3 linked regions of the Sus scrofa genome follow. The protein of the gene in region 1 interacts with the protein of each later gene in a pairwise test. Links are inferred from orthologs where the notes say so. Each region holds a gene or a part of one and is shown on either strand. Other genes may lie near its edges.

What was found.
Region 2: the proteins of CDK1 (region 1) and EGFR interact in binary tests that used the Homo sapiens proteins (3 or more experiments, as listed by UniProt). The link is inferred for Sus scrofa from reciprocal best matches to the Homo sapiens genes CDK1 and EGFR.
Region 3: the proteins of CDK1 (region 1) and CDKN3 interact in a two-hybrid assay, tested with the Homo sapiens proteins (2 studies listed by BioGRID and IntAct). The link is inferred for Sus scrofa from reciprocal best matches to the Homo sapiens genes CDK1 and CDKN3.

Annotation. Positions count from the first base shown.
Region 1 is NC_010456.5:64,231,048-64,239,130, forward strand, and holds the start of CDK1 (cyclin-dependent kinase 1), read left to right. Parts: upstream 1-2,941; 5' UTR 2,942-3,034; exon of another isoform or gene 3,035-3,048; intron 3,049-3,183; exon of another isoform or gene 3,184-3,228; intron 3,229-5,333; 5' UTR 5,334-5,358; coding exon 5,359-5,395; intron 5,396-8,083. UniProt on the Homo sapiens protein: Plays a key role in the control of the eukaryotic cell cycle by modulating the centrosome cycle as well as mitotic onset; promotes G2-M transition via association with multiple interphase cyclins.
Region 2 is NC_010451.4:139,418,983-139,426,497, forward strand, and holds part of EGFR (epidermal growth factor receptor precursor), read left to right. Parts: coding exon 1-66; intron 67-3,174; coding exon 3,175-3,309; intron 3,310-7,515. UniProt on the Homo sapiens protein: Receptor tyrosine kinase binding ligands of the EGF family and activating several signaling cascades to convert extracellular cues into appropriate cellular responses.
Region 3 is NC_010443.5:183,789,524-183,797,783, forward strand, and holds the start of CDKN3 (cyclin-dependent kinase inhibitor 3), read left to right. Parts: upstream 1-3,093; 5' UTR 3,094-3,229; coding exon 3,230-3,238; intron 3,239-4,268; coding exon 4,269-4,333; intron 4,334-4,457; coding exon 4,458-4,500; intron 4,501-5,567; coding exon 5,568-5,650; intron 5,651-7,252; coding exon 7,253-7,308; intron 7,309-7,815; coding exon 7,816-7,860; intron 7,861-8,209; coding exon of another isoform or gene 8,210-8,255; intron 8,256-8,260. UniProt on the Homo sapiens protein: May play a role in cell cycle regulation. Dual specificity CC phosphatase active toward substrates containing either phosphotyrosine or phosphoserine residues. Dephosphorylates CDK2 at 'Thr-160' in a cyclin-dependent manner.

The sequences.
Region 1 (8,083 bases):
AAAGATGCTCAACATCATTAATCATCAGGGAAATGCAAATCAAAACCACCTCACACCTGTCAGAATGCCTACCATCAAAAATGCAACAAATGGAGTTCCTATTGTGGCTCAGCTGAAACGAATCTGACTAGCATCCATGAGGACACAGGTTCGATCCCTGGCCTTGCTCAGTGGTTTAAGGATCCAGCATTGCTGCGAGGTGTGGTATAGGTTGCAGACACACCTCAGATCCATAGTTGCTCTGGCTGTGGCATAGGTCAGCAGCTACACTTCCGATTCAACCCCTAGCCTGGGAACTTCCATATGCTGCAGATGGGACCCTAAAAAGAAAAAAAAAAAAAAAAAAAAGGGAGTTCCCGTTATGGCTCAGTGGTTAATGAACCTGACTAGTATCCATGAAGACATGGGTTCAATCCCTGGCCTTGTTCAGTGGGTTAAAGATCCCGAGTTGCCATGAGCTGTGGTGTAGGTTGCAGATGAGACCTGGACCCTGAGTTGCTGTGGGTGTGGCTGTGGCTGTGACCAGCAGCCGTAGCTCCGATTGGACCCCTAGCCTGGGAACCTCCATGTGCCCTGGATTCGGCCCTAAATAGACAAAAGCAAAACAAAAACAAAACTGGAGTTTTCTGGTGGCTCAGCAGGTTAGGAATCCAGCTTTGTCACTGCTGTGGCCTAGGCCAGCAGCTGCAGCTCCTATTAGACCCCTAGCCTGGGAACTTCCATATGCTGCAAGTACGGCCTTCAAAAGAAAAAAAAAAAAAAAAAAGCTTCTGACTCCAAATTCCTTTCCCTGCTTAATACCTAAAGAGCCCTACACCCTCTGATGGAAGCACCTTGAATTACATGAGCAAACTTCAGTGCTTTACTCAGGCTATTTCCTCTGCTTGGAAGGCCCATCCCACAATTCTTTCTCCAGTGTTCCTTCAGATGTCACAGGCTTCTCCAGTGTCCCTTCAAATGTCACATCCTCTGTTTGAATTAGTTATTTCCTCCTTTATGTTTTCATATCACCTTATAGCATAAGTTATAACATCAGTGCCAGAAGCGAATTTTAAGTAATTTTTTATTTTAAGTAATTTTTTATTTTAAGTAATTTTAAGTAATTCTCCCACCCCCCAACACTTAGAGCAGAAAATGTATCTGGTGTGTGTGTGTGTGTGTGTGTGTGTGTGTGTGAGAGAGAGAGAGAGAGGAGAGAGAGAGAGAGAGAGAGAGAGAGACACTGAAGAGAAGCTGACCCTGGATAATAAACTGTACTTGCTAAGGTGATGGCCTGAATTTACAATGACCCCTGAAACTTTAGAAAGAAAGATAATAAAAAACAAACAAAACCTCCAAAACACCAGCCATGCACACACAAAAGGAAAGATAGCCAAGTTAAATTTAAATACAAATCTAGCGTCAGAGTTGTGGAAGCTTGTGGTCTTTTTTATGCTGAATGTAAAATGTTTGTAATGATTTACTAGCTGTTTTTAGATGAGGCAAATTGAATCTCTTGCTTAGGCCTCCCAAGAGAAAGATATATATATTTATTCGGTAAAATTAGTACACTAAACTACCAGAAAGCAGTCTTCTTCTCTAGAGCTTTTCTCCAGGGGCAGTTTTCATTTAAAATGTGAATTTGAAATTTTAGAAATAGGTTTTAAAGGTTATTAGGTTCAGGCCAAGATTTCCCAACCCCCTATCTCCACCATGAATCCCAAATGCTCTGCCTCTGATACCCAGGAGCACAAAGTTTCCAAGGCTGAGGGTTTGTGCCATATATAGGGCCGGATGACAGATGCTGCTCCTTGCATAATAAGGTATTAAAAACATAAATGCCTGTGGTATACTAGCTCCTTTCCTTAGCCTAACTTGAGTCATCTAACATATAACTGTAGAGGTCATGGTAATGATTTTTTTGTCCTACATTCCATTAGGGTCAGTGCAAAGACTCTTATCCCTTATTCTATTTTGCTCTTTTATCTCCCTAAGGACTTAAGAATGGTGTTCAGGTGCAGAACTCCCTCTTTAGGATATGGTGGAAGGCAATGAAAGAGTTTTGGGACACTGGATTATTTAAAGTATGATTTAGATCTCTTTCTTCCCTCATAGAAATGTGAACTCTTTTTTTATTTATAATTTATAATATAAATTTATAATTCTCATGTAAGAATATTTTAAAAATGTTTTAAACGTGGATCCAACACCACAGCCAGGGCGACGCTGGATTCTCCATGCACTGAGTGAGGCCAGGGATCTTCCTGGGTACTAGTCGGATTTATTACCCCTGTGCCACAACGGAAACTCCCTGTTTTTAGTTTTTAAATAACATTTTAAATAGACAAAATAATTTAAATTTAAAAAGTGAGGTTAAAAACATAACATAGTCAACATGTGTGTAATGTAAAAATAGTAAAGTCCAATGTGTATATGTGTGTGTGTGTGTGATATAAAGTTTTTCTTTACATTGATCAGGACATCTTTGAGTTTTCTATTATTTCCTTGAGGTAACTGAAATGTCCTTTGGCCCAGCCTGAGAGTTATTAATTTAGAAAAACACAAATGTGAGCTAGCTTTAAGAATTTTAAGTGAAAGTAATGGGATCTAGATTAAGTGTGTTATCACTTTTCTGATGAGGTATTTGAGTACAATAAATTTTAAATGTGCCAGTATTGTGAGGGGAAAAAAGCCAACCCCTGGCGAACAGTAGATTTCTGATGACTTGAAACAGTAGGACGACGCTTTCTTGGAATGGAAGACAGCGCTTGCGCTCACACTCAGTTGGCGCCCGCCCTCCTGCTTTTTCTCCAGCCGCCGTTTCCTCCTTCTTTCGCGCTCTAGCCACCCAGGAGGTCCAGCCCAAGAGCAGCTGGGCTCTGATTGGATCCTTTGAAAGTCTACGGGCTACCTGATTGGTGGATCCAGGACCCTTTAGCGCGGTGAGTTTGAAACTGCTCGCACTTAGCTTTTCAAAGCTGGCTCTGGGAGCTTAAGGAGAGCGACGCTGACGTGGTAGCCCTGCCGCCGCTTTCGTCGCAGGATAATAAGCTGGGTAGAGTCGCTGGGGTCAGGGTCATGCTTATGGGGCGTTCAGTTGGCAGGGGAGGTTCGCGGGCCTCGGAGGGGGAGTGTTAAGGAACCGGGTGAGAATTAGGAGGCTGGGCCCTGGGCAGCAAGGGTCTGCGTGTGGCCAGCCGGGACCTTTATCTGGGGCCTGGGCGTGTGAGTGACGCCGAGGTCCGTCATGAGAGCGAGGCTTGGGGGAGCCCAGCCCTGGCAGGATTACTCCGGCCGGGCTGGGGTTGCTCTGGCCTCGGAATTTAGCCTGGGGTCGCGGGCGGCTGAGGAGGCTTTGAGGTCATGGTTGAAGCCGAATCCGCGCATTCGACGTTGCCAAGTGCTTGCCGAGTGCCAGGCTCGGCCTTCGGTCCTGCAGTTCCCCCCGTCCCTGGTGCGCCTTGCCCTCGCCTCTGGGCGTGGAAAGCAAGGCCGCACCTGGGCCAGGTACCCGAACCTCTTCCTGATCCCAGGACGCCCCTGGAAACCGATTGGATGAACTAACTTGTGGGTCTTCTCAGGCTTGCGTCTGTGCCTGTGACCCTAGCCCACCTAGAGCTTTAAGGAAGACTTAGCCAAGGCATACAGCCCGAGAGAACTTGGATTTGTTTTAATTTGTTTTTATGCTTGGTGGTTGTTATATACCATGGAGTTGGTAAAGAGTAGATATCTAAGAAAAGCCTACAGCTAGAAACGTGTGTTTTTAAATCCTATAGTCAATTTTTACCTAATAACTTGTACGTCTTGCTTCCTCTAAAGACCTGGAGGTCTCTGTAGATGAAGTCTTGGTATTTCAAGGCCGGCTATACTCAAATTCCGAAGCTGCTATCTTTATTTCAAATAGTTACAACCGGAGAATGGAGGGAGAGTAATTGAACCCAGCGTTGAGATGGAGTTAGTTTTTAGTTATTTGTTTAACCTGAGCTTAACAATTTTATTGTGCTTTAGGCATATTAAATCTGGATATTGAGGAAAAGATAATTATCTTCATCGTCCACTGCCATTTGTAAAATTAAACCTTTCTAGGATGGCAAGTGTAGTGCAATTTTAATTCATTTAGAAAGATCTATTTCTGCTTATTTCTGGAATGATTTTGAAGATGAATGTGAGAAATAGAATCTACGGGTCAAATTACTCAGAGTGACCTTTGTATATAAGCTTATCAGTGATTGTATTATAAAATTAGATTTTGAGCTTCTGAAGTAAATGGTTGACAGGCAAACTAACCAGCCAAGACTTAACAGGAAGTCTTGTATCTGATTATCATTTCAGCTTTTTTTTTTTTTAAGCCTTTATTGTTCTTGTCTGTTGTGTGGGGTATAGATTTTTTTTCCCCCCTGTGGAATTGTACCTTTTCTTTTAGAGTGCTTAGTGATATTTCCTGCCTTACCCTCCAAATTTTTATCCTGTGTGACTGCTGAGAACAGGAGAATGATTAAAACTGTCACTTGAGCGAGCTGAAACACTTTTGCTATTTTAAACACTAATGAAAAAAAAAAAAGAGCCGCGTTGTCTGCCTGCTTGTATCTTTCACAAGCATCCTATCTTAATAAATCTATTTCTTGCATTAAAAAACCCCCCAAAAAACCCATAATGAGCGAGCAGTGTCACATTTTAACTCCCTGCTCATGCCTTTAAAAATTGTTTAAAAATTATCTTCATAAAAATATCATAAATCTATACAAATTCAGTCAAATAACATTCTTTGTTAAAGTATTTGGGTACAACTCTGACACATATTGTTGGTGCTCCTTTTTTTTTTTTTTTTTTTTTTGTCTTTTGAGGGCCACACCCGCAGCCAGGAAGTTCCCAGGCAAGGGGTCCAATCAGAGCTGCAGCTGCCGACCTGCGCCACAGCAACGCCAGATGCCATCCGCTTCTGCGACCTACAGCTCTCAGCAAAGCCAGATCCTTAACCCACTGAGAGAAGCCCGGGATCGAACCCGCAACCTCATGGTTCCTAGTTGGATTCATTCTGCTGTGCCACTGGGGGAACTCCTGGTGCCCTTTAAAAGTGTTACATGAAGAGAACATCTGTCTAAATTTGAGGGTTTGGAAGGCACTAAATGTTACACTAGTATAGGATATACAATTATTTCCAGTGTTTTCATGAGCTAAGGTGGGAGAGTTTTTAGTTCTTTCCCATGTAAATATTGTTTTAATATAAGATTTATGGAAAATTAATACTGCACTAGGCACTGTGGAAATACTTCCCTTTAGTATCTCATTAATAACTTAAAATTGCCCTTTGAGTTTGTGGCATGTAATCAAGTCCATTTTTCCTCTCATTTTAGGATCTACCACATCCACTGAGTAACTATGGAAGACTATACCAAGATAGAGAAAATTGGAGAAGGTGAGTAGTTTTAATAATATACAAGGTTTTTTTTTTTTTAATGATTTAATGATGCTGCAGCATCCTTGACATGAAGACGTGAACATTCATTAAAGAATGAATGTTCTATAGGTACCTTACAGTACATTAGTACATTAATACATATGTTCTTTACATGATAATTGAAACATAAAAATGTTCCCAGTTCAGGAGAATTGAAATTATTTTCGCATGTGTCCCCAACAGCCCCCTCCAATAATCTTACATTCTTCTAAGACAAATGCTTAAAGCAATATTTGTATTTTGAATCCTATTGATATCTTGTAGGTGTGGTTGGGAGAGTGTTCATGCAGTGGAATTAGGTACTTTACTTCTAAATACTTGTGCATATATATTCTGAGGTTCTAGTCAAGGTCACACATTTCATTTCGTGGTTAATGTCTCCTTAATCACTTCTAATTTAGAATAGGCCCTTGACATTGAGGTTTTTGACAATCTAATTCATTCCTTAAATACACCCAGGCTTTTCTGATTTCATTTATTACTCTTGTTTTTCCTGGATTACAAAAGTCTGAGTGTTGTAACATTAGTCTTTGAATTCCTTCGTGTCTTTAAGAAAACATCTTTTTAGATCATAGCATGGTTACAGCCATGATGTGGAACCTTAATTGGCATTTAGTAGGTACTCTAAAGATTTGTTGATTAAAGGTTTTTTTTGTTTACCACCAGCAGCTTTATAATTTGACCATAGCAAATGTTTTTTAAGTTTTAAATATTCAGTTCAGAGCATATACCTTGTATCATACAAATATTTTTGGTGCTTAATCAGTAGAATCCTTTTGTTCTATTTAACTAGAGCTCTATTCTAGTAGTTCAATGAGAAGTGATAATTCAGAGTCAGGAGGGAGACATAGAGCACTTATGATGTTTAAAACTCAGTAATTCTTGAGTGTTTACTATAAATTAATGGTTGTTATAAGTAGATTTTAGGTCTATGAGTGCTGTACACTTGAGGGAAAAGTAAGAATACTAAAAAAAATTTTTTTGTATTTAAAATTAACTGCCTATTTGGCTATATTCCACAAATGACTAATCTTCTGAGTGTAAATGGTGTGCCAGATGAGGGTGCTTCTAGCTTACCTGCTTTTGTGTTTAATGCAAGTACAATTTACATTTGAAAAATGTAGGTTTTAAGTCTAGAGAAGGTTACCTACTTTATTTTTTCTTTTCGTGGCAGCTCCTGTGACATTTAGAAGTTCCCAGGCTAAGGGTCAAATTGGAGCTGCAACTGCCAGTCTATGCCACAGCCATGACAGATCAGAGCTGCATCTGTGACCTATGTTGCAGCTTGTGGCAATGCTGGATCCTTAACGCACTGAGCAAGGCCAGGAATTGAACTCGCCATCCTCATGGATACTAGATAGGTTCTTAACCTGCTGAGCCACACAGGCACTCCTAAAGTTGGCTACTTTTAAGGATGGTTATGAAGAGCAAATAAGATTAATCCTACATAGTCTTCAATAATTTTGGTTATCCAAAGCACAGTTAATCTAAATTTAATCAAATGATATGCAATGGATTTTATGTCAAATTATGTCTTTAAAATGATACCAAGACAGGGAGTTCCCAATTGTGGTTCAATGGATTAAGAACCTGACAAGTATCCATGAGAATGCAGATTTGATTCCTGGCCTCAGTGGGTTAAGGATCTGGCTTTGCCCTGAGCTGTGGTATGTATCGCAGGTGCGGCTCTGATCTGGTATTGCTGTGACAGGTGTAGGCCAGCACCAGCAGCCTACATATGCCATATACCACATGTGTGGCCCTAAAAAGAAAAAAGAAAAAACAATCAATCCCATAAGGTGTCAAGGATAGAAACTTCTGTTGTGGCCAGAGAGGAAGCATCTTACTCATAGTTGTACCCTCTCACTCTGCAAAAAACACTGAGGTTAACTACAGCCTATTGTATCCATACTTTAGAAAGCTCATGTAGTCACAATTTTCTAATTTTCCAGCCCATTTTAGAGAAAAAGGATCATTTGCAAATTGGAAACTTCTCTCCTGTCAAATGTCCTACCCAACAAGGTAGGCATAAAATAGTGTAAAAATTTGGGGTCAGGAAATAATACTAACAGGAGTCACAGTGATACTTTCAGAAAATTTCATGTAGAATACTTCATGCATACATTGAACAGTCAACAATACTCATCCAGAAAAGAAAATATTTTATTAAATATTTAATCTATTCAAGTTCGTATTATCTACGGAAAGCCTCACATCCACTTTGAAGTTGATGCTAATATAAGGGCTTCAGATAATGAGCAACGAGGTCAATATAAGGGATCCTGGTATGAATGAATGGAGGAAACAGATGGCAATAAGGGAGACGATGGACCAATCAGCTAAAAACCAGTTCATATACAGGATCCCTAGATAATTGGTTTGTTTTTTTTTTTTTTTTAAGCTGGGGTTGGACAATTTAGAAAAGTCTTAACCCCCTAAAGTGTATGGTAATTTTGTTGAATAGCTTTTACTGTTATTCTATGACATGAGTGTAACTTCAAAGCAGTTACAGTGCTCTAATATCTAGGGAGGTCTATTCTACAGTTTTTTAAGTTTCTCCAAAGATAGCCATACTTCAGAAAAGGCCTCTAACAAATAATGACCTACTACTTGCTTGATTAGAATATTAAGGATAGTTTTGTCAAG
Region 2 (7,515 bases), on another chromosome or scaffold:
CCGTCTTATCCAACTACGGGGCCAATAAAACCGGCCTGAGGGAGCTGCCCATGAGGAACTTACAAGGTGAGAGGCTGCAGACATGGAGGGCAGCTCAGATGGGCTCCCCAACCGGGACTTTCTTAACTCCACTCAGAGAAGACTTTGATTCCTCACATGCAGAGGTATTGGGTGCTGGTCCTGAGCAAGACGCAGCAGATGGACGTCCCTAAGCGGGTCGTAGAGGACGGAGAGGGAAGGATGATCTAAGCCAAGTACCACTTGTCCTCCGTCCAGAACATCCAGGGAGTTGGGAGAAGTGACAGCGGTTCTGGGGAGAGGACAGTGAGGTCAGATGGCGAGGTCTTTTGTGCCCATGTATCTGCCAGTTTTATTATCTGGACCCCAGGTATAAGGGGCACGCATTACCCACCCCACCCCGCCAACGTGAGACATTTTCCAGGGTAATGCCCTCATACGGAGAGCATTTTAGGTTCAGGGTAGGGAGTATGACAAGAGAAGTCAGAATTCTTAGGACAGGGCACTTGTGCGGGCCCTCCGAGAGGAAGCTGCGGAGGATGAAGACAGGACAGGAAGCTGATTTGGGACATTGAGGACCACCCTTGCTGTGCCCTTATTATGCCCTGCTGTGTGGCAGGTGCAGTGCTAGCTGTGTTCAATTGGAGTCTTCTTTTAATGCAAGTGACAAATAAAGACATGGTGGCAGAGGGACCTTCCTCACGTCCCACATGAGTGAAAAACAGCCAGGGGTGGGCACCCAGCTTGTGCCCCAGCATCCTTACCTGCCCAGGCGCTGGCCAGTGTGTGCAGGCTCTCAGCTCGCCGGCCGCCCATGTGGCCTCGCGGTCTGGTGGTGACAGGCAGAGACGGCGGGAGCCTGTGCGGGTAGGATCCAGCCCTGGCCCCGTCACTCACCAGCCAGGCGCCCAGAGCACGTGCTCTCTGTGTCTTCGGGTGTGTAGGTGGGATGGTAACGGACTGGCAGGAGTGTCGAGTCAGTTAAGGGGATTACTCCAGATAAAGCACGGGGAGCTGCTTCTTGACTTAGGGTTATTTCTGTTGTTGGTATTGGGGCTGCATCAGTCCAGGTGACGCAGTGTCATTAACTAATCCTCTGATGGGGGCTGTTTAAGGCGAATTACATACTGTCACCGTCACGGGGCAGTGCTGGGGCCCTGCTGCCCGTGACCTTCTTACCTGCACTTTCCTGTCCTTGGTCCGTCACCCTGATGGTCCCGCAGCCCTGGCATCTCCTCTGCATCCCCAGCTCTGACCTCTCATCAGAGTTTACCCCCTTGACTCTGGCTCCCTCCCCCATGAGCGTATCCACTTACTGTCCTGCTGTGGCCTCTGACTTCACGTCCAAAGCTCCACATGGGGCCCTCTCTGACCCCCGAGCCTGCGCTTTGGGACTCTGTGTCTCCGAATCTGCTGAAGGAGCCACCCCTCTGCACCGGGGCTTCCATCTACCTGGAGCCCCCGTGCTCCTCCCCCCAGTCCCCCCTTGCTCCTCCCCTAGTCCCCCCTGCTCCTCCCCAGTCCCCCGTGCTCCTCCCCCAAGTCCCCCCGTGCTCCTCCCCAGTCCCCCGTGCTCCTCCCCCAGTCCCCCCGTGCTCCTCCCCCAGTCCCCCCGTGCTCCTCCCCCAGTCCCCCCGTGCTCCTCCCCAGTCCCCCGTGCTCCTCCCCCAGTCCCCCGTGCTCCTCCCCCCAGTCCCCCGTGCTCCTCCCCCAGTCCCCCGTGCTCCTCCCCCAGTCTCCCGTGCTCCTCCCCCGGTCCCCCCGTGCTCCTCCCCCGGTCCCCCGTGCTCCTCCCCAGTCCCCCGTGCTCCTCCCCCAGTCCCCCGTGCTCCTCCCCCAGTCCCCCGTGCTCCTCCCCCAGTCTCCCGTGCTCCTCCCCCCGGTCCCCCGTGCTCCTCCCCCCGGTCCCCCCGTGCTCCTCCCCCGTCTCCCCGTGCTCCTCCCCCCGGTCCCCCCGTGCTCCTCCCCCCGGTCCCCCCGTGCTCCTCTGCCCTCTGGGAGCTGTGTCCTCCCCAGTGCCCTGGAGACTCTTCCCAGCAGAGCCCTCCTTCCACGGCCCCTCCGCTGTGCGATGCTGGGCAGAACTCAGGCATCCGCAGGAGAGGCGCAGTCATTGCATCAGCTCAGGTAGCGCCTGTAAACCGCTGGTGCCCTCCTGCTGGGGGTGGAGGCCCTCCGCGGATGTGAGGTCACTGGATGACCCGTCTCCCAGGAGCCAGCAGAAATCGTCCATCTTTGCAGACCCCATGGCCCTCCCCGCCGTGCTCTGTGTGCCTGAGTCACTAGGCAGATGTTTACATAAATGTCACAGCTGGAACAAGCCCTCTGCTCAGGCTCAACTTTTCTTATCACTCCTGACTCTTCGCACCATCAGCTCCTTTGAACAGCTAACTGTCCTTTACGCCTTTGCAGCCCTGGTGCCTGATCTATCTAGGTCACAGATACTTTTTTTTTTTTTTTTTTTTGCCATTTCTTGGGCCGCTCTCGTAGCATATGGAGGTTCCCAGGCTAGGGATCAAATCGGAGCTATAGCTGCTGGCCTACAACACAGCCACAGCAAAGTGGGATCCGAGCCACATCTGCAACCTACACCACAGCTCACGGCAACGCCGGGTCCTTAACCCACTGAGCAAGGCCAGGGATCGAAGCTGCAACCTCATGGTTCTTAGATTCGTTAACCACTGAGCCACAGTGGGAATTCCTGGTCACAGATACTTCTTGCCCCCTCCACCTCACACCCCTTTCTCCAATGAGATGCCACAGAACACCTGCCAGCATCTCCCTGTCCCTGCCCGCCCCTCCCATTTGCCCTTTCTCATCTGCATCACATAGTCATTCCGGGCCAGCCTCCCCGAGAACCACCAACTCACTGCGCACTCATCACTTATGCTAAGAGGCTCAAGCACTGGCCTCCTTCCTCCCTACATCCCTAAATTCTGGCCGTGCGTCGTTCAAGGACCCGGTGCAAGGCCATCGTGACCCCTCCGTGGAGTGGAGCCTCCAGCTTCCCTCTCACCCCCCCTGCCGGGAGTTCCATGGGGAGTCTCCATGCCAGCTGCCATCCTTGTAGCCGAAGGCAAACTGGAGAAATGCAGGCATATTTCACGAGTGTTTAGAAGGGGGGCACGTTTTCTCATGGGGTCCTTTCTCGCACAGAGATCCTGCAAGGCGCCGTGCGCTTCAGCAACAACCCTGCCCTCTGTCACGCGGAGTCCATCCAGTGGAGGGACATTGTCAACAGCGACTTTCTAAGCAACATGTCCATGGACTTTCAGAGCCAGCTGGGCAGCTGTAAGTGTTCCCCAGAGCCGCCAAGGTGGGCAGAGCGCGGAGTGCTGGGGTGGGTGTCGGAGAAGGCTGAGTTAATGCTGAGTTACATTCATCTGAAAAGTAAGTAGTCAGCAGATTGTCTGCTTGCTGGAAGAGCACCTGTTTTAAGATAGAGGGTCAGTTAGCACCCTTGCTGGCAGACCACCCCCAGGACAGCTGAGCCGCTGTGTGGCATTGAGAAGAGCCTGCCAATCAGTCATGGCCCTCGATGGCTCCCCCATCCTGTTGAGGAGGCCGATCAGGCTCTTGTGTGTGTCTGATTTGCTTCTGAGCCTCTGCTTGGCACCAAGCCTTCTAGAACTGTGGAGCTGACCTCTGCCCTCCTGCTGGGGGGCCTGGGCTCCCCTGCCAAATCGGGGAGCGCACGAGGATGAATTTGTCCACATGCGCCTCATGCCACTGTTCACTGTCAAGCAGCCCACGCGAGGGAGAGGCTGGTGGAGCCAGGCTGCAGGCCAGGGCTGCCCAGCCTGCACTGTTGGCGGTGCTGGGGGCTCTGAGAACACCAAGCCCCCCTCAGCTTGCTCCCTTCCAGCTCTTCCTGGCCTTTCAGTACTTGAAAATCAGGAGCCATCACTGTTTCTCACCTCTTTGCTTCCTAGGACCATTCCAAGAGATGCATGGGTTTGATTGGTTTGTTTTTTTTTTTTGGTCTCAGAATTTGGAACTGATATCGATCTTCAAAATCAACTAGAGCTGCTCTGTTTTGGGGGTTTTAAAAATTTGGTTGATGACTATGATAAAATTTCTTAAAATAAAACTTGCCATTGTAACCATTTTTAAGCATGCAGTATGGCAGCATCAGGTACATTCACACTGTTGGGCAACCATCACGCCATTCATCTCTTTTCATCCTGCAAAACTGAAACTCTGTCCCCACCAAACAACAACGCCCCAGCCCCTGCATCCGCCATCTCTCTGTCTCTGTGAATTGGACGGCTTGCATCGCACACCGTTTGTCCTTTTGTGACTGGCTTCTTTCACTGAGCACAAGGTCCTCCAGAGCCGCCCAAGCGAGAGCAGGTATCAGACTTTCCCGCCTTGACGTGGCTAATAGTCTTGCACCGCACGGACACTGGTACACGCACTCTGGTTTGTCCATTCACCTGCTGGGAGCACTTGAGTTGCGTCCATCTTCTAACAGTCGTGATGAAATGCTGCCATGAGCATGGGCATTGAACCCTTTTGTTTTGCGAAGATATTCTTCCAACAGATACCCAGTGTGGCACCCACCATGTCTGCAAGGAGCTGAAAGCTTTATTTTACAGGTCAAAATTTTGTGTTATCCAGAAATCAAGGTTAGCCTTTCCTCAGCTGTCTGATGGATAATGGAAAAGTTAAATTGTGTAGATTTATAATGAAAAAATTGACATGGCACGGCTTTGAAGTTAATATGGGTTTGCCGTGGACCAGATCAAGCAGCCCAAAGGGGTACACCTGGCCTCCCTGCCCAGTGCTGCAGGAAAGCCCTGGCAAGGAGGTACTGAGAGAGAACAACGGTGGACAGGTGTATGCAAATGTTACACAGCTATGAGCCGTAAACCAAGATAGTTTTGGTTTCAGAGTAGACATGTAAGAATAAGCCATAGAGAGTTAAGAATGAGACAATAAGAGAGAGTTCCTTTGTGGCTCAGCAGGTTAAGGATCTGGCATTGTCACTGTCAGGGCTCTGGTTATGGCTGTGGTGCAGGTTCAGTCCCTGGCCCAGCAACTTCCATGTGCCACAGGTGCAGCCAAAATTAAAACAAAACAAAACACAACACTTAAGACAGTAGGAATAAGCCTAACTCAATCACACGTCCGTAAAGAGGTAACATTTCAAACAAATAAGAAAATAATTCATTATTCAATAAATTGCTCTGGAATGATTTAACTACTAAGGGAAAAATATCAAAGGACGGAACTCAAGTACTTTTTTAAAGGAACTGAAGATATGAGGTTAGTCACACTGGAAATTACAAAACTGCCCTTCAGCTGCCACCTGTACTTTCCTCCTGAGCGACCTGATCTGCGACAGGTTCAAATCCCGCCCCACCCCATGGAAGGAGAAACCGCACCCTCAGCTGGTGCTTTTCAGGCCACAAATAGCTTCTGAGAACTTGTCTCATTTCATATTTACCCCCAAAAATCTCATAGGGTGATTTAGGTATTTTATGGACAACAGATTGGAGATTCCAAATGGTTTTTACCCAGTGTGCCCCAGTGTTATGTTGCTGTTGACATAGTTTGGAATCTGAAGATCGAATGGGCAGGTTCATCTGCGAGGAAATTAAAGTAAATCCATCATCCACTTCATATACCAGTGAAAGTTCCAATGCATATTAAACATCAAAATATTGAATATATATTTAAGTGATAGAAAGAAACATGAAGATGAATAAGTGTACTATCAAGTTGAAGGACAGTCAAAGTTAGATCCCATAAAAGAAAACGTCAGTATGAGAAAGTGTTGATGGCAAACAGGAAAAAAACATCATGCAGCATCTGATTGCCTCGAAAAGGGTTCACACTCCTGCTGAGTGACTGTGCAATGTACCCTTCAAAATCCTAACAAAAAGGTAAACCTCCCCCCAAACCCAAAATGAGCCAGAGACAAAAGCTGCCCCCACAACACACACATGCACGCACACGCAAGATGGCTAGAAATAAAGTAAAATGCTATTTGTCACTGTAATAAAAAGGTCAAAATAAAATAAAGACGCGTCATTTTGCCTTTGCTAAAGGTTTGGGCTCCTTTTGATTTTTTCAATACCTGAATCATTAAATAAGTATTGAAGCTTTCAAATATTCACACCCCTGACCCATGAATTTCATGTCCAGAAATATTAAGGAAAAAATAATAAGGGGAATGAAAATTGAGAGGATGTAGAAAAAAATTTTTTTTCAAGAACATTCCCTACAGCCTAGTTTACAGTAACTCTTAGAAGCAACTTATGTATCTAAAAATAAGAGATTGGGGGAGTTCCCGTTGGTGGCTCAGCGGTAACGAACCCCACTGGTATCCATGAGGACATGGGTTTAATCCCCGGCTCTGCTCACTGGCGTTGCCGTGAGCTGTGGCATAGGTCACAGATTCGGCTCAGATCTGGCGTTGTGTGGCTGTGGTGTAGGCTGGCAGCTGCAGCTCCAATTTGACCCCTAGTCTGGGAACTTCCATGTTAAGTGGGTGCAGCCCTAAAAAAGAAAAAATAAAAAAATACTAAAATAAATAAATAATAAAAATAGAGATTGGTTAAATAAATTGTGGTAGCCATGCCATTAAAAATCCATTCTAGACAGAAAGATATTTAAAGCATGGAAAAATTGTCATAACGTTTTATCAATTATTTTTAAATTATAGTACAGTGTAGTGTGATACTAATTCTTATGTGTACATATACTTATTGGCCCATATTGATTACCCCTGGATGATTCTCATTTCTTTTTGCTTTTTTCTGTTGTTTGTATTTTAAATAATGTCTGCAATTCTTTTTTGTCACATAATGTTAAGAATCGTAAGAAGTTTAATTGTAATTATAAGAAGGCTAAGAATTATAAGAAGGTTAGGAATTATAAACAGATGCTCCTTGGTGAATTCCTTTTTTTTTTTTAATGATTTTTATTTTTTCCATTATACTTGATGAATTCCTTGATGGCAAATATTTTACTTTCTTTCTTGCAGAAAGATGCCATTGAATGTATTTATTTTAAATATTTTTCTTTTATGAACTTATGCTTACTGTTTACTATCTGATAATTATGTAATTATTAGTATAACAGATACAGTTATTACATAACGCAAATAATTACACTAATTATAATGTTATTACAATTTTATTATTATAAGTGCTTCTAATGGAAATTTGGGAAACATGGAGAAGTCTGGGGTGGCCAGGAGGGATCACGTGACATAGACACAAGCTCTCTGAACGTATCTGTGCGTTAGTTTTGCTCTCTCCTCATGGTTTCTATCCCTGTCTGTCCCCGTCGCTTCCTTTACATAATGTGCAGCCACTCCTGCCAGGGAGGCTTAGCCTCCTGTCCTTGGGGATTGCGAGGAGCCATACCCCTGTGCTAATGCCTTTCGCCGCAGGAGTGATTCTAAAACTTGGGGTCCTGTCGAAAGGGTGCCCAGGCCCAGCTGTCGCTTGGCTGGTCATCAGCTCTACCATTTGAAATCTAAATTCT
Region 3 (8,260 bases), on another chromosome or scaffold:
GCTGGGCAAACATTTTCTGTAAAGGACCAGCAATTAATATTTCAGGTTTTGCAGGCCATGCAGTCCCTGCTGCAACCACTCAACTTTACTACTGGGGTGCAAAAGCAGCCCCAGACAATACTTAAATGAGTATGTCTGTGTTCTAATAAAACCTTATTTACAAAAAGAGGCCTGTGGAATTTGGTCCACGGGCCACAGTTTGCCGAACACTGGACCAGACAAAAAGGAAAATCCTACATCACAGAGGTGAGATGCGTTCGTCTATGGCTACTTAGAAATCCTGGCCTGGCCCTGCCAGGGGAGAGAACAAAGAGAAGGTGAAATACTCCCAGTTTACTCCAGCCCTCCCTGTTCTACCCATTTCCTAACCTGAGACTGGAAGCTCATCCTCCCTTCTCTGCAGAATCAGCAGGAGCTAGAACCGATTGACACTGTGTCCCCATCCAGCTGAGGCCAGAGGGGGCAGAATTTGCACCACCCTCGAAGGACCTGGGATTTCATTCATTCCAGAGTGGGAGGTATGCGTAGAGAAAATGGAAGGGACGCCTGATGCTGAAGATTAAAGATGTCTGTGGAGACAACACTGGGAGAAGTGGAAAGGAGATGAGAGTTAGGGAATGAGGGATGATCAAACATCCTGAAGCCCATCCAGAAAGTATTTACCTGGAGCCCAGGTCACAGTCTTTCCTTGGACTCTCTCAATGTTTCAGGAAAGAGGCTTGTGGAGTTCCTGTTGTGGCTCAGCGGTAATGAACCTGACGGGTATCTATGAGGACACACATTTGATCTCTGGGTTCGCTCAGTGGGTTAAGGATCCAGCATTGCTGTGAGCTGTGGTCTAGGTCAGAGATGTAGCTTGGATCTGGTTTTGCTATGGCTGTGGCTATGGTGTAGGCCAGAAGCAGTAGCTCTGATTTGACCCCCGGTTGGGGTACTTCCATATGCTGTGGGTATGGCCCTAAAAAGACCAAAAAAAAAAGTCTTGTAAGCCACTCACAAGGTCCTGCTTCATTTGTTACCTCTCTCGGCCTCACTTAATCAGCTTCTCCTATACTGGCCTCCTTGCTGTTCCTTGTGCACACATTCCTAACACATTACCATCCCAGGGCCTCTGCACCTCCTTACTCTTAGAATGAAAACCCTTCCTCTAAATATTCAAATGGTTGACACTCTCTCCTTCACCTGGGTACTTCTCAAATGGCATCTCAAATATGTCTTCCTTGACTTTTGGAGCTAGAATAGCATCCTCATCAGGCTCTGCTTGTTTTAATTTTTCACTTTCCAACTGTCTCTCCCAATAGCATGTGAGCCCCAAAAAGGCAGGGACTTTGTTTAGTTCACTCCAGTATTCCCAATACTTTGAATAGGACACATGTGATGTTCAATAAAATACTTAATAAATGAATGAACCAAGTCCAGTATGTCCATTATGGCTAATTTTATGTATCAAGTTGGCTGGGCTATGATGCCCAGATATTTGCTCAAAATGCATTCTGCATGTTTCTGGAAGGGTGTTTTTGGATGAGATTAGCATTTAAATTGGTGGTGAGGAAAGCAAACTCCACTTTATAATGTAGATAGTCCTCATTCAATCAGTTGAAGGCCTGAACAGAAAAGGCAAGCAGGCATTTTGCAGCAGGTGGCCTTGGGACTATACCTGCAACATCAGCTCATCCTGGTTCTACAGAAGATTGCCTTTAAACTACAACTACGATTTTTTCCTGAGTCTCCAGCCCCTCTAGTCTCCCTTATCAGCTTTTGACTTGCTGAGCCTCCACAGTTGTAAGAGTCAATTCCTTAAACTGAATCTCTTTATGTACATATCTTATTGGTTTTTTTCTCTGGAGAACCCTTATACAATCTCTAAGGCAAACTGTGATATCTTCTTTACTAAAGAATTCTTTCCAATAGCTCTCTACCCCCTCGTTTCTACAACATGAGTCAGGGAGTGAAATTTCTACATATTTTTGTCAGACCTGCAGGTAATATCGCTCCAGGTGACCTTCTTCACTGTGGCCAGCAAAATGGGGACTGGAGAATGGGGGAGTGAATAATAAAATACATTTTTTTATGGCTACACCCCAAGTCATATGGAAATTCCTGGCCAGAGATTGAATTTGAGTGGTAGCTGTGACCTATCCACAGTTGTGGAAACGCTGGATCCTTTAACCCACTGCACCTGGCCGGGGTGAACCTGAGCCACTGCAATGGGATTCTTAACCCACTGCAGCAACTCCTCAAACCCTATTTTTTTTTTTTTTTTTTCCTTTTGGCTTTTTAAGGCCGCACCTCCGGACTACACCACAGCAACGCTGGATCCGACGAGCCTCGTCTGGGACCTACACCACAGCTCACTGTAACACCCAATTTTAACCCACTGAGCGAGGCCAGGGATCAAACCCACAACCTCATGGTTACTAGTCATATTGGTTTCAGCTGAGCCACTACTGGAACTCTATTTTTTTTTTTTTTTTTTTAAGTTTATAGCCACTCTTACTTAGAAACACTGGCACTGAGAGCCATCTAGAAATTATTATTTCCCCTTTATAACATACTGTTTCATTCATATTTAGTGAGTAGGAAGGTTGAATCTACATCCTAACTTGTCTATGTCCTGGAATGGTAAGGAACATAAAATATCAAACATACAAGTCTTGATTTTTAACGGTTCTCATAGCATTTGAATGACTAGATGTGACCATAATTACAAAGTCCACGGAATGTGGTGTATATTCACAAGACGCTTCAGCCCAACGCTCCCTACCATGCCCATAAAAATAATAATAATAATAATTTAGGAAAACAAACAAAATTCCCTACCCTGGTACCACTTTGGAATCCTGCCATGAGAAAGCACCGCTTTCCGGAATCCCCACAGTGCTGGGGCCGTCTTTAAAAGATATCGCTCCGCCCTCACCTCCCCGCCCCCTCCACGCTCCCAACCGGCGGGAAGAGGTCGCCCTCCCAACCAATGAACATTCGGCAGGGCCCTCCTCTCGCGCGTCTTTCAAAGGCCCCCTAGGAACCAATGAGCGATTAGAGGCCGAGCCAGGGGAATCCCCGGCCGGAGTAAGAAACAGGGAGAGGGTCTGATTGGTTCCTCGCTCCACCTCACAGAAGTATGTACCAATAAGCTGAGCCGAGGGGCAGGCTCGGCGAGGGGCGGAGGCTGAGACGCTGGTGCCGCCCGAAGAAGGCTGCGGCGGGTCACGACTTGGGGCGGCCAGCGATGAAGCCGGTGAGTGGGGTTGGGGATTGGAAGAATTGAGCTAATGGGATGGGAACAGTCCCGAGGCCAGTTCCTGGTCCCGGGGACACCTGGGCCTGGTCGCGGCACGACTCGCGTAGTAACCGTCCAGGGTAGGGGGTATGGCCCTTCCCGAGACTTGCGGAGAACGATGGCAGCGAAAGAACAGGGTCGGTGGCGGGCGAGGGGAAGACGAACATTCGCTGTGCACCTGTTATGGGCTGTGGGCTGTCGCCTGCGGGGTCTCCTAAGTCTCCTGACAGCCCTGCCAGAGAGCGCTGAGCCCCGCTTTACGGAAAAAAACGGCATAGAAGCCTTAAGTGTCTCCGTGTATCATTCAGCCTGATATCCCAGCCTCAAAGCATGTGCTGGGCACCCCTGCGGAGCAGTCCTCCCCGCGGACGATGATTCACAACCCCCACTTGTAGGTGTGTCATCACAGTCACCATCCCACGGGGCACGGGGCCACCTGGCACTACGTCCTTTTGCCTAGAGTTCAGAATCTCTGGGCCTGGGGAAGCAGAAACTTCCAACTGTTAAGATTTATAAACCTGGATAGGAAAGCCTGAATTAATGGGCCACACAAATTGAAAATCTGGAATCATCAAAGAAAGAAAAAATAGGCTTAAGGAGCGGAAGGGTACCCATCTGACTCACATCACCTCCCACCAGGGTTGACAACCCCTTGAAGAGCCTCCATTTGAACTAAGTTTATTAATAATAATAATAATAACACAGGTGGATCCAAAGCAACTCAAATCCGTGGCCTAAACTGGCTCTGTAATGTGATCTTGTAGTAACGAACAAGACCATTATAGAATGTGGCTTCAGAGCTAGAAAAGACATTGGGCAGTTCCACTTGCTAATCCCCGTGTTTCCATGTGGAGGGAACATCAGCTGTCCTTCACTTCTAGCCTCTTTCTACACTTGTCCCCAGAAGGGGAAGAGTGAGTGATCCGATGCCTAAGTTTGAGAGGAGCTGAACATAAGAAGGGAACCCTTTCTTCCCTTCTCTTTGCAGAGAGTACTTTCTGGGGTGCTCTTAGCACAGGAGAGCCCTGGGTTGTCCATCACCACCTGTGACTGGTGAGAGAAGTCCAATGCTAGAGTGAAGAAATGACAAGCCGCCTTGAGCTCAGCTTTAAAACCACATCCTCCCTCTGACAATCAGTAATAAAACTGATGTATTGATCTCCATTTGCCTTTCCAGCATCTCATCTCTCCCTTGGTTCCAGCTAGGGAGTAGAAGAAAGGTGTGTTTTTTTGTTTGTTTTTTTTATTACTCCTATAAAACAACACATCTTCCATGTAGAAATGCTTCCCACAGGATTGAGTTTCATCTCCTTCGGTCAGCAAACAAAGTGCATCTCACTCTCTCTAGCCCAGTGATTCACAGAGTTAGGGCTAGGTTATTCCACCTAAACTCCCCACCCTGCCCCCCACCAAACTACTAGGCTGTATGGGGATTAATTTTTGAGAAATGGGGTAGAGAAAACTACTACTTTGGCTTCCTCTCCCTTACTCTGATACCACAGTTCCTGAATATAGTTGGACCTCAGTATCTGGTTGCATGTCATTGTATATACAGGACTTGAGCGTCTGCAGATTTTGGAACCCATGGTGGGGTGACGCTGGAGCCAACCAATCCTACACACACACCATGGACACTAAGGAACTATAGTGTACACAGACCCTTTCTCTTTTTGCCTTAATTGCCTTAACAACTTCTCTATCTGCCTAAAAACTTCCTGCTTATCCATCAAAACCCAACTCATGGATGTCTCCTCTATTAAGCTTTCTTCAGCTTCCTAAGCAGTCAGCCACAGCCTTCTCTGCTCTAAAGGGCATAGTTTATGCTTGCATTTCAGCACTTCTAACTTTCTTGAATCTATGTACACATTGTCTCTCCAACTGTACTTACTTTATGGGTCTTCGCATCTCCAGAGCTTGGCTAATGAAAATGTCCCAGAAATGTTTGTCAATGAATGAATAAATCTCCTCACTTTTTAGTTTGGGAAAACTGAGGTCCAGTGGAAACTAAAGCTGCTTATCTAAGTATATACAGTAAGTGGCAGAGCCAAGACCAGAAGACAGGTTTCTTGGTTCTCAATCCAGCAGTCTTTCTACTACATAGGGCTGTAATGATTAATAAATGGTATAAACAGCAATAGTTTATTATTGATATTGCAGATCTCTCTAATATTCCAGGTTGAATAAATTGCCAGTATGTATCAGTGTGCACTTAAGCTATGATCAGCTATACTAAAACTGTATGTAAATATTCTTTACAGTTATTTAACATAATTGATTTCTTTTGAAGCCTAGCGTGATACAAACAAGTGAGTTTGACTCATCAGATGAAGAGCCTATTGAAGATGAACAAACTCCAATTCAGATATCATGGTATGTGGACATTTCTGATCCCTGATGAGCTAAAATATCTGATGTGTACATCACAGTCTTTGTAGGATTTAGTCTATATATTGAAAATTATTCCCTTCTGCTGATTATATAATTCTAATCTTTCTTACCTATGATAGAAAAAGACTTTTTTTTGGGGGGGTGGAGGGGAGTGGTAGGAGCTCCTTCCTTATATTGAGAAAATCATAGTAGAAACAAGGAGTTAAGATTAGAATGATCTCCCATTTAGTACCAAAACTTTATTCTTTTAAGACAAAAGAATAGTGTATCAAACATAGGATGAGTTATCATTTATCATTTACTCAAATCCTACAACTACTTGCCATAATAATTCATCTATCAGTAGACCCTATTTAAGATGAAAGCCACATTATCATGGATACAATAACCAAAACCAAATGTTTTCATATAAAATCAACTGCTAAGTCTTGGCAGTGATTTAGGTTATACAAGATTCTTGCCTACCAGCAGTCAGATGCTTTTTCTTATCCCTGAAAGTGTAATAATCCTCCTTAAGGTAATGTCCCTGATATAGGAAGAGAAAAAGTCTTGTCCCTGAAGTTCTTTTGTTCTGCCATCAAATAGCAATTATCTTTCATTTCCCCTTCTAAATCCCCTTTAAACTCAAAATCTCATCTGATTTTCAGTCAGGTGGTATTTATATGATGCTCCCCCACCTCACCCCAACTGTTTTCCTCTAAATTCATCTTCTTTTTCAAAGACAAGGTGAGTCTCTGCCTTCATTGTCACCAAGCACTGCAAACTGGGAATAGGACTTCTTGAAATTATTTCATTTTAACCAAAACCCATTACAACAAAGAATTGGTGGCCTGTGGTTTTTATTCTATGAAATTATATCTGTTTAAGGAAATCCTGCAAAGAAATCTTAAAGTAGTAATGTAGAAAGATGAGTGCTGGGAATGAGATTGTCAGATGATCATTTTCTTTTTTTTCTTTCTTTCTTTTTTTTTGTCTTTTTAGTGCTGCACCTGCAGCATATGGAAGTTCCCAGGCTAGGGATCAAACTGGAACTTCAGCTGCAAGCCTACACCACAGCCACATCAATGCCAGATCCGAGCTGCTCTGCGACCTACATCTCAGCTCATGGCAACGCTGGATCCTTAACCCACTTATCGAGGCCAGGGATCAAACCCACATCCTCATGGATACTAGTTGAGTTCATTACCACCGGGCCTGGAGGAAAACTCTCTCAGATGGTTATTTTCCAGTTTATGCCTAAGGTTACTGATACAGAGTATCTCAGGTAACATACCACAAGGGTAACTTAAGTACCCTTTATCCTAGCTGTTGACAATCTAGCCATTACTATCCTTAAGGTAAGTTTAAATTAGCATGTTGCTTTCAAGACTTTAATTGTAACAAAGCAAATGACGTCTCTATTTTAAAACTTCCAGTCTTTCTAAGCCTTTTTGTAACCAATACACTGATATGTAAATATGAATTTTTGTTTTGTGACTATTGTAAATCTCTGAAACACACCTTTGTTCAGTGGTTTGTATAAATGTCCATCTGTAATTTTTTTTTTTAATTGAACCAAATTTGACAAAGTTTTATTCTTTTCAGGCTACCCCTGTCACGAGTGAATTGTTCTCAGTTTCTTGGTTTATGTGCTCTTCCAGGTAGGTCACATCATTGATAGGTTAAAAAAAATTTTTTGTCAGCTAACACATCATTCTCTGTATTGAGCAGTAAGAGAATTTCATAGTTTCTCAGCATGGGAATTCACTTCTGGAAACCCTCTTGGTGGGCCATAGATAAAGGAACATAGATCTACTCTTCAACCCTTCCAAACCCACATTCACAGATATACATTTCTGATTTATCTATCTTAGTAAAACATAACACTAGTATTCAGTGTGAGGCTGAGGACTATAGCCAGGTACTTGCTACAGAAGGGGCACAGAATAAAGAATCCTTGGATTAAGAGTTCCTTCTGCTTGGATCTATCAATCCTGGAATTATATTCCTAAGAATATAAGAAATTGAAATTCACATTCAAAAATGGAATTGAAGCATATAAATGATCATGTGTAATGACTTTCTACAGTAGCTACACATGCATTTAAACATTCTCATTATTTGTAACGAAAAACTGACTCTTTTACTCACTTTGTTAACACTTACAGGTTGTAAATTTAAAGATGTTAGAAGAAATATCCAAAAAGATACAGGTAGGTGTAATATGAGAAAAACCATCTTAATAGGTCTCTTAAAAATAACGCTAAAAATCTCTTTATCGAAAAGAACAAACTGTAGTCTCTTCTGAATTTTCCAAATAAATGTTAGGTATTTCTTTCATAAAGTTTCAGACTAGAGACTTATTCTAATATGTGAAGAGCTATTTGTGAAGGGCAAAGAGAACTCATCATTTACTGAACATAGTGTTGCTTTTCACTGATTGCTATAATGCTTTACATAGCAACTTCATTTGAGGTTAGAATGAAGTTGGAGGGAGAAAAGTTTGCAAGTAGAAAACTGATACTGCACTGCCCAGATCTTTGAACATACTGTTCTTTACAGACTTGACTGTGATGCTGGAAATTCAGACTGAGCTGGGAACCCAGAGGTAGT